Caenorhabditis elegans: one gene and its partner. The protein of the gene in region 2 interacts with the protein of the main gene of each other region in a pairwise test. Each region holds a gene or a part of one and is shown on either strand. Other genes may lie near its edges. The genes, in order: B0303.7 and ifo-1.

The links.
Region 1: the proteins of ifo-1 (region 2) and B0303.7 interact in a two-hybrid assay, tested with the Caenorhabditis elegans proteins (one large-scale study listed by BioGRID).

Annotation. Positions count from the first base shown.
Region 1 is NC_003281.10:8,689,744-8,699,621, reverse strand, and holds B0303.7 (SH3 domain-containing protein), read right to left. Parts: upstream 6,001-9,878; 5' UTR 5,968-6,000; coding exon 5,880-5,967; intron 2,678-5,879; exon of another isoform or gene 2,572-2,677; coding exon of another isoform or gene 2,562-2,571; intron 2,264-2,561; coding exon 1,907-2,263; intron 1,640-1,906; coding exon 1,394-1,639; intron 1,272-1,393; coding exon 1,090-1,271; intron 1,037-1,089; coding exon 428-1,036; 3' UTR 101-427; downstream 1-100. Other genes in the region: sdz-1 (Skn-1 dependent zygotic transcript 1 protein), read left to right, coding at 1-56; B0303.4 (transmembrane and ubiquitin-like domain-containing family 1 protein), read right to left, coding at 6,678-6,880, 6,932-7,420, 7,884-8,414, 8,681-8,735, 8,784-8,880, 8,942-9,070, 9,118-9,287, 9,374-9,508 and 1 more.
Region 2 is NC_003282.8:7,319,950-7,330,095, forward strand, and holds ifo-1 (Intermediate Filament Organize), read right to left. Parts: upstream 6,715-10,146; 5' UTR 6,714-6,714; coding exon 6,621-6,713; intron 6,570-6,620; coding exon 6,495-6,569; intron 5,862-6,494; coding exon 5,796-5,861; intron 5,378-5,795; coding exon 4,572-5,377; intron 4,530-4,571; coding exon 4,433-4,529; intron 4,335-4,432; coding exon 3,335-4,334; intron 3,004-3,334; coding exon 2,584-3,003; intron 2,536-2,583; coding exon 2,287-2,535; intron 2,240-2,286; coding exon 1,745-2,239; intron 1,698-1,744; coding exon 1,559-1,697; intron 1,512-1,558; coding exon 1,429-1,511; intron 1,378-1,428; coding exon 1,192-1,377; intron 1,112-1,191; coding exon 942-1,111; 3' UTR 785-941; downstream 1-784. Other genes in the region: sqst-2 (ZZ-type domain-containing protein), read right to left, coding at 7,937-8,340, 8,597-8,701, 8,748-8,898, 8,943-9,011; ocr-4 (Ion transport domain-containing protein), read right to left, coding at 9,730-9,903, 9,951-10,146.

The DNA of each region.
Region 1 (9,878 bases), on a different chromosome or scaffold from region 2:
ATTTGGATGCACCAAGCCGATTTTTCTCGTCTACTAAAATTGAATGTGTCGTATAAATATTTGAATAATCGAACCTACATAATATTACGTTCATCATATTGTAACAAATTCTTCAAATTCATTATTCTCCTCAATAAATTTACTTTAACATTTTTCTGAAGTTTTGGAAGTTCACAAAATAACTATTATAGTAACGCAGAGAAATGAGCTATTTGAAATTGATCTACAAACGTTAATTGGAAACGCTAGGCCCACACTTGATAAGGCAATTTATTGAAAATACATTTCTAGAAAATTTGACAATCGGCACAAAACACGCATCGGGGAAAATTTGAATTTTGTAAATAAATGACATATTAGAAAATACAAAAAACTGGCACATATAAAGCTAGAAAGTGAATTTAGTGAGAAATAATCAAGACCAGAATCAATTTTCCAATTTGACAATATTCTTTGGCAGAATACCCGCTGGCAAAGTCTTGAAAGCTTCCAATTTTCCCTTGTAATAGTAGTCATCAACATCTTCCACAATCAATAAATGATCGCCACGTGTCACATAAAGATGTTTGGGATCTTCGGAATGATAGTCACCAGTGGCAACTGCCTTCTTCGGAGAGAATGCACATGCAATTTCAGCGATTCCTTTTGACGGTGCCTTCTTTGGAGATCCGTATGGTGGTCCCAAGAAGGTCTTCGGAACCATTCCCTGTTGTCCACGACATTCTGCGAGCAACCATTGAGCATCAATGTCTTCCAGGGCTGTGATGACGTCACCTTCGAATAATCGGAGGTCAGAAGCAACTCCAGAATCGTAATCATAAGATACAGTAACGGTTTGTTTGGGACCACTATTGTTTGTAATTGGATGAGAATAAGATGGAGCAGATGATGGAGCTGATTGTTTCATTGGAACTTGATAAAGATTTGGACAATCCACAAATTGAGATGGAAAGATTCCTGATCTACCAAAGCATTCACCTTCTAGCCATTCTTCATTTACACGAGCTGTTACCATAATTTGTGATCCGACAGCGAACTGAAAGAACATTCAGATTTACAAATATTTTTAGATGTCTTTTAAAAACTCACATTCAAATCTCCAGCTTCGTTCGAATTATAGTCATAGATTGCAGTTGCATATGTGCCTGAAGATGATCCAGATGGAGCTGCTGGTCGTGGAGGCAGAGCTGTGAAAGCTTCTTTCAATGGGATCTTGATGTCAAGGTAGGATGATGGAACAATTCCAAATGTGCGCTGGTTTTGATTCTCACCTGAAACAATGGAAGATTATGTATTGAGTAACTAAGTTTCAAACATTTAATGCGATTGTTTCTGCAAAAATCGAGAACATCTCCTCTTACTCCATATAAAAATTAATTTGAAATCAACTAACCATAAAACCACTCCGCATCCACTTTTTTAGAAATTAAAACCGTATCCCCAATTCTCAATCCCATCTCATCAGATTGTGTCGGAGCGTAATCAAACTTGGCAATTCCATAAGGAGTACTGATGGCTGGTGCCGAATAAGACGGGATTGATTGTGTATGACGTGGCACTGGAGGCGGGGCAACTGGTGCAGATGAAGAGTAAGAAGATGTTGAGTTGGATTGATACGATGGAGTTGCAGTAGAAGAATCTGAAATTTTAGAACTTTTTGAAGAAAAAAATAGTCGGTAGGCATGTCTCCAGATATTCCCTTGCCTGTTTACATTTGTACCTTCCGCCTACTTCCGGCAGTTAACTCGATATTAACTCGACATTTATCAGAATATCCAAGCTTTTTGGAAAATTTGGCAATTTACCAAAACGTTAGCTATAAATTTTGAAACATCTAAAACTTCGGAGTGTTTTATTTTGATAATCTTTTGTTTGATCTGTTTTTTTTTAATCTTTCAAAACTCACTGCTTGACATCACCGATCCTCCGATATGCATATTTTCCAATTGTGATCTAATTGCAGAATGTGATCCAGAAAGTTTTCCAGGCGATGTTCCTCCTCGATGTGGTGGTGGTGGTGGAACTGAATCAGACTTTCGATTAGCATCAGCAACTGCAAATGCAGCTGAGATCTTATTTCCACCACTTGGGTCCTTGACAGCATTCAACACTGCTCCACGTGCCTTCTCATCTTGTGCAACATTTTTAGCTGTTTGTCTGACGAATGGATTCTTGGCGGCTGCGATTGCGGCATTCCGAACCTCTGGTCTTTTGGCTGACTCGAATAATGCCTTGGCGGCTGAGACTGAGAAGGTACTGGTATCTGGAAATATGGTTTACTAAATAGATAGGATATGAAAATAAACAAAGCTTGGTTTATTTGAAATGGAGCCTTAACTAATGTTATCACTTGGTTCATAAAAAAAGTTGGCGTAATTGTTTTTCAAATCAAGTTTTATCTGGCCTATAGGCAGGCAGGTAGGCATTTCCTGCTTTCATGGGAGTCAGAATTTTAGCTAGAACTTATGTAGTTATATAATATCTAAATATCGTCTTCAAGAAATCCTTACTCTCAGGACATTTAGATAATACGAAACTGTAAATAAATTTTCAAATCTTACCTTTTGACATGAAAATTGAGCACCAGCCCGAACAAAAGAGCGTGAGAAACCCTAAAACTGCCAGAAAAAGAAATAAAAAGAATGAGAACTGGGGAAATCGATGGATGGAAGAAAAAGGAAAAAGACTAGGAATACGAGAGAGTGTATAAGTTATAGAAACGCAGACAGATAGGCAATGGAAACTCTTGTGTTTGCCGAGAGAATGAGAGAAAGTGACGAATGTATGTTGTGACTAGACACACCTCGGACACATATTTCGACAAATCATTGAAAAAAGACACGTCATTCGAGCATGAGTCATCATAGCTTTCCAGAGCATCCTGTTATTTCTTCTTTTATTGTTTTAAATAGATAAAATATACAGTGTGGGAAAGTTCTATAGGACCCCCCCTAATTTGAAGGTTTGAGGAACTTCCGAAAATTTTTTTGAAAAACTGCTAATGCCATTCGTTTTTAAATTGAAAAAAACCTATATACATTTTTTTCCAGAAGTTTATCTCAAAAACTGAGGTCGCGCTGGAAAAAACGTCAAAATCCAGTGTGAAACTTCTATAGGACCCCCCGTTTTTTTTCACGATTTTTACTAAAATCAACAGATTTTGGAATTTTTGACAAAGCTCAAATCAAGTTTGAGTTAGAAATGAGTTCAGATAAGCAGTTTTGACTTTAAAAAATTAATACGAAATGTTCTCGTGGGATCTCCAGACTGGTTCTGATTCTTCCGATCTTTGATGTTCAAGTCTGTTTCAAGCTTCCTGGTGCTCTCGGTAATGCCAAAACTTGATAAACTCTCTTTAACAAGTTCCTACTAAAATTCCTAGCACACACACCATAAACATTTTTACGCCATCCCCAAGAAACCAGTCAGAAACAGCGTATTAACAAGTTGCAGTTATTTTTGATCAACAACAGAACATTCATATACTAAAATCAAGAAAGGATCAATAGTTAATCGGGTTTCCTTGTGTGCGGATGATCTCAATCAGTCTGTCCTCCATTGATCTGACCAAACTTTTCAGCTGGTTGTCCGGAATAGACTTCCAAGCGTCGAGAATTCCTTGCTTCAACGATGCAACTGTTGGGTAAGTCTTGTTCTGAGCATACACGATACGGACAAGAATCCCCCACAAATTTTCGATTGGATTGAGATCAGGACTTCGAGCTGGCCAATCAAGAAGGTTGATCTTCTTGAGCTTGAAATAGTCGCGGGTTGAGTTGCTCACATGGATTGTCGCATTATCCTGCTGAAATCTAAAGTCTTTTCTGGAGTAGTGACGAAGATATTTGGAGAGCTCCAGTTCCAAGACGTTCTGATAGTCAGTGCTGTTCATCTTGCTACTGACGAACTGTATCTCAAGCTTCTTCTTCTCCGTGAACGCTCCCCAAACCATCACCGTTCCTCCTCCAAAATTACGTCTCGAAAAAACCATTGGTTCCTTGCGCAAATCGCGCCAATAGTAGCGGCAACCGTCAGGCCCATCGAGATTGAATTTCTTTTCATCGGAGAAGACAACCTAAAACAATGATCCTAATTATTCACTCTTGCTTTTTTAAATTCTCACTTTACTCCAATTCGTTCCCATATTGTTCTTAGCAAATTCCAATCGCTTGAGTTTATGGTCTGCAGAGAGTAACGGAGCAGGGCGAAGTTTCTGACGAACGATTACACCAGATCGTTTGATGACATTGAGGATGGTCCTTTTTGAAGCAGACAATTGAAGCTCATTGCGAATATCTCTTGCCGTCTTACAGGAGTTGGAGGCAGCACGAATCACATTTCGTTCGTCACGCACGGAGAGAGCTTTGCGACGAGGAGCTCTTTTAGATGTACCGTAGCTCACCGGATCCTTCAGATACTCGCGAATACAGTGTCGAGAACGGGAAATTTTCCTACTCATTTCATGCAGGGACACATTGAGCAATTTCATAACATCCAGCTGAGCGCGTTCAGTGTCCGAAAGGGCAGATCCTCGAGGCATTGCAAGTTAGACTGCTTTCGAAGTAAGCTTTCCAGCCTCTATATGTGTGCCACAACACATGCCACAATTCCACATTTAATAATTCACGCAAAAAATAGTAAATAACATCTGTGAGGGACAATTTAACTTGAAATATTGGTCCCATGGAACCTTGTAATCAAAGAAAAACGATTTGATTCCTGATAAGCCTTCCATTGTTTCCTGCTGCATATTTTGCCAAATCAGCTTGACTACACAGTCGAAACATCTAAAGTGCGTGCTAGGAATTTTAGTAGGAACTTGTTAAAGAGAGTTTATCAAGTTTTTGCATTACCGAGAGCACCAGGAAGCTTGAAACAGACTTGAACATCAAAGATCGGAAGAATCAGAACCAGTCTGGAGATCCCACGAGAACATTTCGTATTAATTTTTAAAGTCAAAACTGCTTATCTGAACTCATTTCTAACTCAAACTTGATTTGAGCTTTGTCAAAAATTCCAAAATCTGTTGATTTTAGTAAAAATCGTGAAAAAAAACGGGGGGTCCTATAGAAGTTTCACACTGGATTTTGACGTTTTTTCCAGCGCGACCTCAGTTTTTGAGATAAACTTCTGGAAAAAAATGTATATAGGTTTTTTTCAATTTAAAAACGAACGGCATTAGCAGTTTTTCGAAAAAATTTTCGGAAGTTCCTCAAACCTTCAAATTAGGGGGGGTCCTATAGAACTTTCCCACACTGTATATTGCAAGATTTCCTATAATTATCTACATACTGACAAGTGCGAGAACCTTTTCTTGGCTCCAAAACGAAAAATCTATGAACAATATGTGGAAATTTTGTGGTAATTGTGACAGCAAATGTTTTTTAATGAAATTTAAAAAAAATTTCAATATTTTCCAACTTATCAAATTATATTACCCATATGCCAAAAATAGATGCCTGGTCTCGACACGACAAATGCTTGCTGGATTCAAAAGAATATGCGCCTTTAAGGGGTACTGTAATTTCAGACTTTCGTTGCAGAAAATTACAGTACTCCTGAAAGGCACATATTCTTTATCACTATTAAAAAATTAGTCGTCTCAACTTTTCCGATAAAGCTGCCGTAGGAATTTACATTTTCGTGTCTGCCTCTAGCCTTACTGCCTACATACCTGCCTACCGCCTATTTTTGCGAATTTTGCCGTTCGCTCGCAGATCCTGCTTTCAGGTTAATTAAATTTATCTCAAAATTATAATTTCGAAAAGTGGTTTTTTTTTTCATTTAAAAATACATCGAAATTATTTTTAGAATTAATTATTTCTCTAAAAATCTCACAAACATCTGAAAATCAGCATAAAGTTTAAAAAAAAACTTACCAATATTCTCATTTATTCCATTTGAATTTCCAGATGTCCCACATATATTAGGCTTCCGTGGTGGCGTTGGAGGTGGTAGCCTTACCATTATTCTCAATGTTGGAGCAACTATCTATCTGGGTGGAAAAGTGAATCCAAAGGGGGTCTTGAAGGGTTTATTTGCCTCCAACTTTTCTCCATATTTACTCAACTCAATTGTGCTGCTGCCTTCTTCGAAGTTTACAATCAAACATCCTTTAGCACTGTATTTTTTGTAGTCCACAATTGTATAAAAGCTACCAATTTATTACTAGTGAAGTATCTAATGATGATGCAAAAGAAAGATGAAAAACAAGAACCGAGTCAAATATACACAGAACACACGGACGGGGTGGGGGGAATAAGAATTATTGAATAAAATTTCGCAGTATTCGATGTGTGTATGTTTGGATCTTCTCATCCTCTGTCTGATCCGTTTCAAGTGGAAAATTTTGAAAAAAAAACCAAGTGTTTTGATACCCATTTTGTGTGCAATTTTGTTGTGGCTAGAATCATAATGGTTTCGATTTGAAGTGTACAAGAATCTGAAAATTGAAAAATCTATTGCTGAATAAAAACAACTATTTATTTGTTAGCTTTTTAATCGAAACTCAATTTTAAAGCAAAAATTAATATTTCTGGTTTTTTTTCGAAAGCTTTTTTCAAAAGAAAATAAATTCATAACTTTTTCGTTTTCAATTAATTAAAAAGTTTTTTTGAAGTAAATTTAATTTATTTTTCCTAATAAATAAAAACTCACTGTGAAATATAAATTAAAATTTACAGAAGACGAATAGTCTCCTGGACGATTTGATTTTCCATCATTTCATTTTGAACCTCAACAGGATCCGGTTGGCGTCGTCGCTGACGTGAATAAACCACAAAAACGAAGTAAAGAAATACAATAATGAAGATCGAAAAGCCGACTCGATCAAATACATCTGGAAAGTAGTACAGAAATATGCTCACTGCGACCATTTGACCTGTAATAAATATTGCGTTTTGACGTGTTTTTTTTTGAAAATTAGAATCACCTCCAAAAATCCAAAATAATGTTGAAGTTTGCAAATGAGTTTCCTGATCATCATCATCTTGTTCCAACAATCCATTATCAACAAGTAAATTGCATACCCATTGGCTAATCGTCAGAAGTGTGGCTGGCCGAAGTAGATCTCGAATTCGATCAGGACGGAAAAATGCCAATCCAATTCCAGAAAGAATTGGAACCATTGTTGATAAAAGTAAATAGATCTGTCCAACATTTCTGTCCTGCGCAGCTCTTCTTCTTGCTGTTGTAACATTCTCATCAACTACTGGAACACTTTCCGACGGCATTGGAGTTGTGTCACGTGGAGCTCTGACGGATCTTCGAGGTCTTCGTCGAAAACCATTATTGACAATTGGAGGAAGAGTTGCTATTCCTGGTCGTGTATATGGTGTTGTACTAATATGACAATGAACTATACTTCCTGGTTGAAGACCATATTCTTCTAGCGTTCGATGATCTTCTCTGAGAAGTTGGCCTGAAAAATTCAGTTAAAAATTATTTAGGCTTGAAGAAAAGACTTTTAATTTTTTCAAATAGTTTTTTTTAATATTCATTTTTCCATTTGATTTTCAGGATTATGAGCCAGTGGTATTAAATTTTGGGAATTCTATAAAACTTTCAACTGTGGCACGTTTTCACAATTTTTCCAATCTATCAAATTATCAACAAAATAAATTGCGGTCGATAGGTACATTTTTGTGTCTTTCAACGAATACTTTAGATATAGGCCAATAAAATTGTGTTCTATATTTTCAGAAATTTTATGGAATTCGCAAAAAATAATCGTTAGATCTTTGTTTTCACTTATTTTTTATCATTTTTGAAATATTTTTTAAAAAGCTTTTTTGCCAAATGCCAAACATTTGTTTTCATTAATTTTTTTAAACTTTAAAATACATTACTAACTGTTTTTACTTTACATAAAAAATTAAAGATACCTTGATAAATGAGCCGTATGACCTGATTCGCAAGATTTGTGAAATGATCTACTTTGAACTTTGCTACAGTATCCTCCAGTGATGCATACGTGTTTTTCTCGGTATCATTCATAAACTTTAGCTTTATCAAAATCTTCCCTTCTGATGGTCCTTCGATTACTGGAAATTCGGATTCTTTAGTTTCTTGAAGAACTTGCTCCGGTTGAGCTTCTACTTCTTGATCATCCAGTGGCGGATCCTCATTTTGCTCAACTTCGACTTGCTCAATTTCTTCAATAGGACCTCCTCTATCAATTTCAATTTCAGTTTCTTCATCATCATCTTGACCTTCTTCTTCTTCATGATCTTCTATTATTGCATCATCTGAACTATCGTCATCGTCATCCTCTTCATCATCTTCTTCCTGTTGATCTATCACAATATCTTCTGTAAGCTCTGGTGTATCAGCGAACACTTGATTTGTTGGAGGCTGAGTTTGTGTTACATTTGACGTTCTTGTTGAAAGATGATGTTGCATATCCGGGTTTATTGCTGAAAATCCATACATTTTTAATTTTCAGGCGGGGATTTTACTTTTAATTATAAAAAAGGCCGGAATGACCGAATGTAACTGTTAAAAAATTAAGAAACTGATTCTAATTTTTTAAATGAATTAGTTTCATCTCTTCTCTAATTTTCAGGCTTTTCCTACAAAAAATTGAAAATAAATATTAAATTGTCGATTTTATGTCATATTTGAAGTTTTAGCTAAAATTGTTCGGGTAAAGTTTCGAAAAAAAGCAATATGAAAAACTTACATGGAGTCGTATACGTAACGTCTGTAGTAACGTAATCATGTCGTGAAGAATTTTCCTGAACCAAAATAAATTATTTTAAAATCAATTTTTTTTCTTCATTTACGCTGGGTCTCGACTCATCAACTCGAGTATTTCCAGATCGTTCTGTTGGTGGACGAAGTTGAGGCCTGTACGTTCGAGACATCAAAGATGCGTCGTCTCTGGAAAAATACAGAATTTTTGAATGTTTTAAACCTTAAATTAAACTTTTTAAAAACTAACCCTCTAGCTAAAATTGCTATCGCCGCTGCAGCAGCATACTGACTATCCCTTGTGGCGTCAGGCACGTGACCAGCACTCGGTGGCGGCATTTCAATGTCCCATAATGTTATTAGGTCAACGTCTGGTGATCTGGAATTGGAAATATTAAACATTTGAATACATTTTTAAAAGTAAACCTTGCAGGAGCTGGTGAATCAATAACCGTATTCGGCGACTGTATCACAATATTTGTATCAGAAATTGCCACTCTTTGCTCTCCTTGAATTCGTGGAGCTCTTGCCCTCATTCGTTGAACTAATCGTTCCCATGTGACGGGCGGTGTGAACTCTTGACCGAGATGAAGAACCTGTATTTTGAAGTTTAGAAATTTATTCGAAATTTTCCAATAGTGTTTTTCGTTTTTTTTTTCTTTTAATATTTAAATAAAATTACCTGCACCATCCTCCTAGTTGTCCAAGTGTGCATTTCTACAACAAATAAGTTATAATATAAAGGCCTTCGAGCAGAGATTTGATATGATAAAAGTGCACATGCTATGATGATTAATATTGCGACGACTGTGCTTAGCTGAAAATAGTTTTTTTTAGATTTGAAGTTAAACAATTTCAATTTGACACTTTTTCATAACAATGAAAAAATGGGAAAAGGGTTCAAAAAATCAATAAATGTTCAACTTACCTCTAAATATTCGAGTGCAGATTTAACAATTAATGCATTCATTTTTGTCTAGTTGTGTTGTCTGGAATAATGAAGAATAAAGTGAAGAATAATATGAAATCAGATGATGCTTGAGAGACTGAGAGAAATAAAGAGAAGCGTGTTGGTTAAAATGTTCCTTGGCGCAGAGAATCGATACGTGAAAGCGCACTAATCGACGGGCAATTGCACGCTTTTTTAGGAAAACAACCTTTTTGTTAAATTTTATAAAAAGAATTTA
Region 2 (10,146 bases):
AAGGATAATGCCCTTTTCGTAATGAGAGAAAGAGAGAATGCACTCAATTCATCAAGCCTCCCTCACAGAGGAACTAAGAGAGAATGAAGCGACCCAAAAATGAGAGATAGACAACAAATGAAGAAACGCAGGAAGTTAGAGGAACAGAGAAGCCCCCCGCATCCTCTCATTTTCAGGCAGACCGACGGAGAGAAAGAGGCGCGCGCGCACGCGTATGTTTCTGTTTCTGTTCTGCGGCTGTTCCTCGTTGTGGAGAGACGTGTGACAAAAAAGTTAAGAAGCACTGGGTAAATATAGAGAGATTTTGAGAAATTGAGAACAAAAAGATACGAGAAAGAGAGCGCGCCAGCGACCGGGTAGGAGGCGGCCGTTGTTGACGGGGCCCCCGGAAGAGTTAGAGGTGAGAAAATAGTGGATGGGATGAAGAGACGCAGAGAAAAAACAGAGAAAGAAAAGAAAGGCGTAGAGACTATGACACTAACAATGTATTTATATAAACATTTCACGTTAGTCATAAGGGATACGTTGGACATTGCAAAAAATATGAACAAGTGTATGCATTTTTTTTTGTTGGAAGATCCAAAATGTTTGTTGCCAAATTTCAATTTTCGGTGAGTGGCATGCAATGATCTATGGTCATTAAACTGGAAATTGGTTCAAAAATATATTTTCTGAAAAGATAATCTTACGGCCCTCATTGCATTGTAATTTCGAGTGTCAAGTTCTGAATGTTCCCCCTGGGCCTCATAAGGAAATGCTCGTTATTCTTGGCGGGGCTGGACTTCACAGTTAAGTTTATTAGAAAATGTTAGGAATACAAACAAAAATTGAAAATGACAGGTATTTTCTGACCGAAATCGGAAGATTAAGAATTGTTGAATCAATTTGAAAGTCTAGAGGCAATGAAATCAACGGAGATGAAATTGTTTCTTATTCGGAATTTAAAAATTTGGTCCATCGCCGGACAAGGAGACCGGAGAGAGCATTGAAGTGTCATCTAGGGCCTTGTAGACACGACGAACACGGATTGACTCCTCGTCTGATGACTGACGATGATAGTATGAGTTGTGTTGAACTTGGACAGGTGGAGAGTGCATCACTGTTGATGAAGCTGAAAATTCTGATTGTAGAAATATTTATTATTAGACGTTCAGCGGATGGTGATAATTCTTTTAGATTTTTCAAACTTACTTCTTGCTGAAACATCAATCCTTTGTGCACCACCACCAATAGAATAACCATGTTCACTGTGCTCATCTACAGTACCCTGGTGCATTTCATGATGATGACGTGTCATATGATCTTTACTTCCATGCTCATGGAGTTCAATCTCATCAAGTGGAATGCGGGGCAAAGAACGTGGACGAGGTTTAATCTCTGAATATTATTTTGAAACTAAAAAGAATCAGCTGACGAAATGTCAAATACCTGGTTCCAAGTGATGACCAGGTGGTGCAGCACTGACACGGTAGATCACTTGCTCAGTTGTCAGTGGCTTCTCGTCGGGCTTACTGGAATTCGAGAATTAAAATCTAGAAATTAAAAAGAATCTACGAACTTGAAAAGTTTTGCCAAATTTTTGACATGTCCGACATGAACTGGCTGGTAGTCCAAGGAAGTTGTTGATTTACATTGATGAGCAATGTTTTCCGAATTTTCAACACTGTCAAAATGCACATGCTGGTGATGATTGTGTTCTGAAATTACGAGATTTATAGAAACACCTCTTTGAAACATGTCATACCGTGATAGGACTCTGAGTTTCCGTTTTGAATTTTCAATGGAGCTGGAATATTTTGGCGATTCAACGAGTTCGAGCACTGAACAACAGTTCCCGTGGTAGTTGCAGTTGAAGCTGTGCTCACATGAGAAGTGGTGCTAACTCTTGAATCTTCTCTTTTCACAAATGGTGAGTTAACCGGAATGTGTGCCTCAATGTGAGCTCTCTTTGATGATTGAATATTTTGTTCATCCCAGTTGTTGGTCTTGCTCATTTGTCGAATCGATTGGTTGCTTTGAGCCAGCTGATATTGAATATCTTTCTCATTTTGAACCGAGTGATGATGGTGAGCATTTTCATTTGATGTTGTGTGATAGTGATGAATATGTTCATTTTCAGCTGTACTGTGTTGATGAGCATTTTCATCTTGATGATAGTGATGAACATGTTCACTGCCATCTGTATGATAATGATGATGATGATGGTGTTGAACGTGAACAGTGTCATAATGGTGATGTTCTGAAACAGAAAATTTTATATTTTCAATTATAATTTAAATATTTTACCTTGATCGTGTGGAATATCATAGACAACTTGTCCATGTGGTTCATCATATACTACACTTCCTCGATGAGTTTGTGATCCATGAACAGTTGAATACTCTTGAGCATTCGAGTGTTGAGAAGTAGCATAAGCATCATAATGAGTCGCCTGATTCTGATTGATTAATTGAGAATGTGTATGAGTTTGGACGGTATTTGAAAGCATATGCGAATGAGCTCGACTCTCGTCGTGAGAATCTTGGACAACAGAGGCTGAAAATACACTTTCTTAGATATAAACAGTTTTAATCAGATCATTACCATCCTTCGCATTGTACCGTTCGATATGTTTATGCACATAATCAACATTTCCAGCAGAATCAGAGTGATCTCTTGGGGATGCGGCATCATCGAGACGTGGAAAATCGATAGTTTTGATCTCTAATCCAGGCGTCGTTGGTCGAGAGTTGGCACGAGAAACTGGATGACTGACTGGACGGGTTTGACTTAGAATATGATTTTCTTCATTCATTTTAAGCAAAAATCCGTTGCGGTAGATCAACTCATGGAAAATGACAGGGCCAAGTGGCTTGTCAATATGCTCGTCCAAAAATTCTTCGGATTTTGGAGGTGGCTGCCATGTTCGTTTCGGTTTCTCCGGGATAGGTTCTGGAACTGCCACTGGGACAAACACCGATGGAATAAGAATAGGCTGTGATACTGGACAAGGAGTGTTCTTGCCTGAAACAGTAAAAATTTGGTGGGAATGATGGGAATTTTAGCTATTGATATCATTCAAAAAGCTGTCATTTTCACCGAAGATTGCAGGGAAATCTATACTACTATTATCTATTTCATCTTCCATTTCTAGTCAAATTCTACAACACACTCACGATTTGGTAATTTCCTTTTATCACATTTAATCTTACAAGGTGAAGATGGGGTAGAAGTTTCTATAATTCGATTGGAAATTTCATATTTCGTTTGAATACAACCTATTCTACGTATCAACTTTGCTTTTATGGCGGAATCGTTGCTTCTTAACTTATTATTCAATCAAAAGTCAACTCACTTTCTTGAATCTCTTCATATGCATGTTCTTCTTCGTATTCCCGTGCTGCCTTAATCTCATTCTGAAGTTCCAGATATTTCCTTCGCTTTTCTTCTTCCAAAAGTCTTTCCCTTTCTTCTCCTCTCATTGCTCTTTCCATTTCTCTAACTCTATCAGTGACACTCTTTTCTAATCCCAAATTCTTTTGATCATTGGATTGATTAAAATGTGGAGACACTGATACATCAAGAGCGTCATTTCCGATATAAAGATCATCATAATGACGTTTAGCTGGCACTGGAACTGGCTCTGGTTCTTCTTCAATTACTTCAGCTGGAGTTGCAACGTGAATAATCTCTGCTGGAGGTGGAGGTGGTGGTGGAATGTAAGGAAGCAATGGGACGAATACAATGTGATCGTGATCTCTAGTGTAGTTCAGAACATGAACAACTATTGGTGGTGCTGGAGGTGGAAGTGGAGGTAGTGGAGGTTCATACACTTCCTCGTATATATGCTCATCGTCCAATGTCACAGATTTCTCTTGTACTTCATATTTCGTGTCTTCATATGGACAATATGCCGGATATTCCTCGATCACAATTGGCTCATGAAGAATGTCTTCAACTCGATGAAGCACTTCATATCTAGTTGACAGATCATAGTAATCTGGGAACGACGGAATTACAATTTTACAATGATCCAAATCTTTGGTATGCGACAGAATGATACGATGAACATTGTCATAGTAATCAGCAAATGGCCCAATTTTATATGGAATATGTTCAAGTCCAGGATCACGACTGAGAATGATTTGAGTGGCGTGATCGTAATAGTCTGGGAACGAGAAAGACAAATGGGTAGGGTGATGTGGGAGATCTTCTGATCTATTGAGCACAGTGTATGCTGGCTCCGGGGTCTTTGGAGGAGCTGGAGATGGAAGTCGTGATGTTCCGTCGTAGTCCGAGTACTTTTCTAGATAGTCACGAGAGTAGGAATAGTGAAGTGGGCGAGTGATGTTGCCCTGAAAAAAATTGGATGGACTGAGAATAATTTGGTTCTATTAAATTTACAAGTCAAGTATTCAAAAATTGTCTTCCAATTCAAGTTTTTTTTGCTCACCTGATAATAACCTTTTGCATCCAAGAACATGAACTTGCTCGGATCATAATAATCGTGATATCCTTCTGGCATTTCGATTTCTGGTGGGAATGTTGTTCTATAAAAAAGTTTAGCAATCAATTACAGATTTGGTACTCACTTGAAGTCATATTTTCTCTCATAAGTGCTTGAATACACATTTGTGGTAGATGTTCTATGAATTGGCTCATCATAAATGTGCTCCGACTTCTTCGCTGGCATTTTTGGCATTACTTCTTGATTTTTCGCTGGTGGAAGTGGTGTTCCATAATGTCCATATCCAGATACATAATTTCCATATCGAGAATTGTAGTCATGACGAGTGTCAACACTAAACAAATTGCTTAAGGACTTTGTAGTGGAAGAGACTTGATCCAAACGTGGTCGTGACTGAGTTGAAGAAGCAGTTCCATGAGTTTCAGAACTATGTTGATTGTTAGATGTTTGATGTGCTTCGTGAGCAACTGATCCCATTGATTTTGACCTGGACATTCCAAATGAAGTGTATGCATCTCCATTACTTTGATGATAAACTGGATGAACTGAAAGAGAAAGCTCACGAGTTCTGATGTGGTTCTCTTCTTTCTCAGCAAAAAACTTGGCGATTCTTGCACTAATATCCTCTGCCACTTCGTTGAATTGATTCATTCCGAAAGGATGATCTCCAGCTCTCACAGTCAGTGTTCGATCCTCCAAAAGCCCAGAACCACCATCTTCTTCATAAACTGCAAGTTCATGATCCCATTCTCCGTGCCCTTGTGGAAGTCTTTGTGAGACGACATGGCGATGAGACTGATCTTCTTTAATGAGCTCTTCCAATGGAGCATCAACAGTTTCCACGTATTCCAGGCGTTCTTCATCATTTGGTCCGTAATCCTGTGTGCAATCCTCGAGGCGTTGAACTTGATCCGGAGATGGTACAGATTTCTGAAAGGAGGAATTATGAATATTTATTTCGTTGATTTTATTTGAAAAACTTAAATATCGAAAACGTTTATTTTCTGCATTTTTGTTGTTTTTTAATTCTAAATGTTTGCACTCTTTTACTATTTGTTTCATAAATATTGAACTATGAAATAACCTTTTTTGCTGTTTTTTTAAAAACAAAAAATAGATGAAGCATTAAAACATTTCTGGTAGTTTTTTTACATACAGTTTATCACATTGGTAATTCTATGTACAATGCACAATCATCTTCTAAAATAGTCTTCAAAAATAGTCTTGAAAAGTTCAATATCGTATTAACGATTTATCAAAGCATTATAACACCTGTTCTTCAGAATGATACGAATTTGTACCCAACCCAAAAATAACAAAAACAACTTTCTCATTTTCAAAAACTCACAGATCTGTAAAACTTTTGTTCCACGTACACCCTTGTCAAAGATCGCCCACGTCGTTGTAGATGGTTCTGAAAATACTTTCAATGTTTGCCACGTCATCATCACCCCGAATCGCCTACTTCCTTCTCATTTTATGACACTTGCACAATGCTTCTAAACAAAAAGAAATGGCATCTGTTATCAGTGATTGCGGCCGAAATTTTGATATTTTACTACGCACTGTGGCATTTGCAATCCGCAATTATGATGACTAATTAAATTTTTGGAAGGTAGGAGGGGATTAAGAATGAGTCAAAGTTGAGGTCGAAATTTGGAAAACATAGTTTCTCTAAAATACTAAACTTTTGTGTTTTGTGGTTTTTGTGTGAAACATCGAAATTAAATCAGAAAAAATGATTAAAAGTTAAGTGCACATTTACCGTATTTTCACTATTAGACTTGCACCCAAACTGCTTTATTTATATCTTGGTTGTCTTTTATAACAGTTGTTTAATAAGCAAAATATAGAAAAAATAGTATGCGCGTATTTTGTCAGTTGGCAATTTTTTGATAACATAAACCCAAAGTGAACCGAGAGCTGTCAAAGTAGAGCAATGAGTTGCAAATATCGTAGGCGAATTGCGGAATTTTGAAAAATTAGTCCAAAATAAAATTAATGCCAGCTCTTTCAAAAAAAAAACACTTTTAAAATAAAAACAGACCTCATTCTTCTTGGTGGTCAATGCATAGATGTATCGACGAACTCCCAGATATCCACGTCCGCGATTTTCTGATCTCTGAAAAAACCAGAAAATTTACATTTTCTATGGATCTTGAACACAACTTACATCATTCTCTCTTCGAATTTGTTCATCCAAGTCCACACATTTCTGTTTAACGGCTACAAGTGCTGCATTCAAGTCGACTTGTAGGTCTCCCATGCTGAAATCGTATTCGAATTTTGTACAACGGACAGTTGAACTTGAGAATTCGTAATTTCAGTCGTGAAAAAGTTAGGAAAAAATTAAGCAAACAACAAAGAAGTTTGAAAAGGTAGAGTGGAAGTAGTATTCCTTGAACTCGATGGAAAATTCCAACGAAAAGAGTCAATAAAAATGTTGGAATAGTGTAGTAAATGGTGGGTGAACAATCAACTGAAATAGGCGCAATTCTTTCCCTCTCTGCCAAAAAATGTGATAAGAGAATCTTTCTTTGGTGCCTTCTTCTTCTTAACAACATCTTATCAGTTTTTGGTGCGTTTGGAGGAGGAATGCAACGGGGCCGCCCGTTTTTGACTCCTTCATCGCTTTCTCCAAAATGTTGAGCAAATATCAAAGTTTATGATAGGTTGAAGGGACTGAAAATATTTGTGTAACTCAGAATCAGAATATGTTCAAATTTGAGTTTTATTGAACAAAAAGGAGAAATAACATTTTCAGAGAGGTTTTAGTAGGATTTGAATTGCAGGAGTGAAACTAATTTAATAAGCGTGGGCAAAAGTTAATAAGGGCAGTGACAATCAAATTTTGTTTTTGAAAAAGTGAAAAATCATGAACGCGTCATTGGTGATTGCGGAAGAATAAATAAGGAATGGGTAGGTACAATAGACTGCTTTGGCTGAGTTGTAGAAACCTCCCACGCATGCAAAAATGCCTACTTGCATGCTTTCAATGCACAGTAAGCGTTGGTCACTTTCTAGGTGTCAGGCAGGTAGGCATTTTCTAATTACATGGAAAAGTGTTCTATGGAGCCAATTAAAATAGAAATTTTGAAACATTGTGTTAATTTTAAGACAATTAAAAATTGGAAACATGGCCTACAAAATGTTTTTGAAATTCTCAATAAAGGTGGTCCGCGGTGTTATTAATTCTAGTCCTACAAGTCAATAGGAATGAAAATTCAATTGGAACAGATTTCTGAAAAGCACAAGAAAAATTTAATTTTAAAATTCAAAATAAGAGGGAATTTTTTTTTTTGTTTTTTTTTTTGCGAGATAGATTTCAGGAAATTAAAATTGAATGGAGGATGCGTCTTGGTTTTTTGCACTTCTGCAATTACATAACTTTTTTGGTCTTTTTAAGTATAACAAGATAGGACAGAAATCCGACAGAAAAACTAAGTTCACAACATAAATAGGAAAAACAACAAAACTATAAAATACAATTTAAAACCAATGATAATGTTCTCTTTTGATATCATAACGATGTTCTGGGAAAATGTAACTTGGGGCGTTAACTGTGACATAATCAGGAATACTTGTAACCCTTGGAGTCACAATTCGTAGAAGAGCATGCTCGTAGTGAACCAAATCTTTTTCACAGTCTCCACAAATATCATAGTCTGGACATTGAAGACAGTGATAACGGCTTCCAACAATTATACGGAAACAGTTTCGGCATGGAGTGTCATGATGGACGAAGTTTCTTATTGAATCATGATGATGATGATGGTGATGACGTTTGTTATCGTTGAATCGAACAGATTGATGGATTGAATGTTGAGATGGAGTTCGAATTATTGGAACGTTAACTTCGTGATAATTACGGCTTATGCTTCTGGGACGGTAATCTGAAAAATTAAATTTTTAAAAATTTTGTTACTATTAGTTTTGAGTTACATAAGAACACACCTTTGCAAAACAACTTGAAATTTCTCAAAATTTGAAAATAAAAAATACTTTGAAAGATCATTGTTCCTTTTTTTAAAAAAACTTAATTTGAATAATTGAATTTTCAAATTGTAAGATTATCTAACAAAGAACTAACAAGGTTGTTATAATAGGACTATGGAACTGTTTTTTAAAAAGTTTTCCGTAAAATCTTACCTTCCAGTCTTATATGTAGATGTGGAAGAATATGATCAGGATTTTGAACACATTCCATAACTTGCACTGAATCATTCAACTCGTTTTGAGCACCAATTGTACTATCTATTAAAAAATTATTACAAATATTTTTTCATTTCAAAAAACTCACCCGAAAATAGACGATAAACACCATTTGATGGATACAATTCGTGTGCAGCTTCAATTAATTTTTCCATTGCGTTGAACTTATTCAAATACAAAATCTTTGATCTGTGATAGTTATTATGGTAGAATGAGACATGAATATCCCTTGGAATCGTCTGAAAACAGTTTTATTACTGAAATCGAATATTCTTGAAGTTACCGAATATGATGGAGTTCTTTCATATCTTCGTTCTATGATTGGTGGTCTCCTGTATCGAATACTACTCATTTTTGTTGACCCAAACTAAATCAAAACTAAAAAGTTAATCTATAGAAGTAATGAGCAATTTTAGAAAAAAAGTTAGGAAGAGTCGAGAAGTGAAAATGTTGATTTCAGCGCCAGTGAAACTCTTGTCAAATGCTGAATGATGCAGTTTTTGATAAGATAACATTCCACTCGTTAGTCATTTTTGGAGAGCAAAGCAAAGAAAAGAAGAAGGCACATCAGAGAATGTTGCATTTTTTGAAATATCTGAATTGACTTGGTATAACACTAGAAATAACACTAAAAACGATGGGCATTCTCTTGGGTGAGTTCTTAATCCTTTTTTAATAAATAAATTTTCAAATTGAACTGACAAAATTTGCCGAAATAAACTAACAGTATGCCGCTTGTGGACTGGCTGAGCAGTTCGTTTTGAAAGTTTTCATATCGTTATACTTGATTATGGTTACTGCAACAGTACCAAAAAATAGTAAAAAACACTTTTAAAATGTTCTAAATTAAACAGTCTTAAATAAAAATATTTGAATGCAACATATTAAATCCGGAAACTATTTGAGACATCCATTTCATTTAAAGTTTTCCACTGCCAAATTTAAAGGTTTCTAAAAAAGCAAGATTGAGGAATCAAAGAAGAAACATCAACTTTCCACATTTTTCACTAACAAGATCCAACATTTATTAGACAAATTATTTTAGGAAGAGAATGAAACAGTAAAAAAAATTAGCCGGTAGGAATAATCAACTTATTATTAGTATGTCGATGCTTCGATTTGAAATAATTTGCTCCTTGCTTGCATATAAATACTGGCCGTCTTCTCTGGTTTGTGCGAAGTTCCTCACGGAATTTACGACGCTCTTCGTGCATTTTCTTCCGCTGGCACTCGAATTCTTCCTCCTTAAATTTATCATCAAACTATTGGCAAATGTGTAAGAGGAACTCACTGTCATTTTATCTTTTAACAATAAAACTAGTTTTTCACCTCCATCAAAACGTATTCCATATCTTCTTTGATACCGTAACCTGGTTGCTGGATCAAAACTTTGTTCCATCATTAGAATAATTGCAGACCATTGTCGAAGCCACTCTAATGAATTTCCAGAGACTTCTGTATAAGTATTAGTCATCATAGCAATAAGC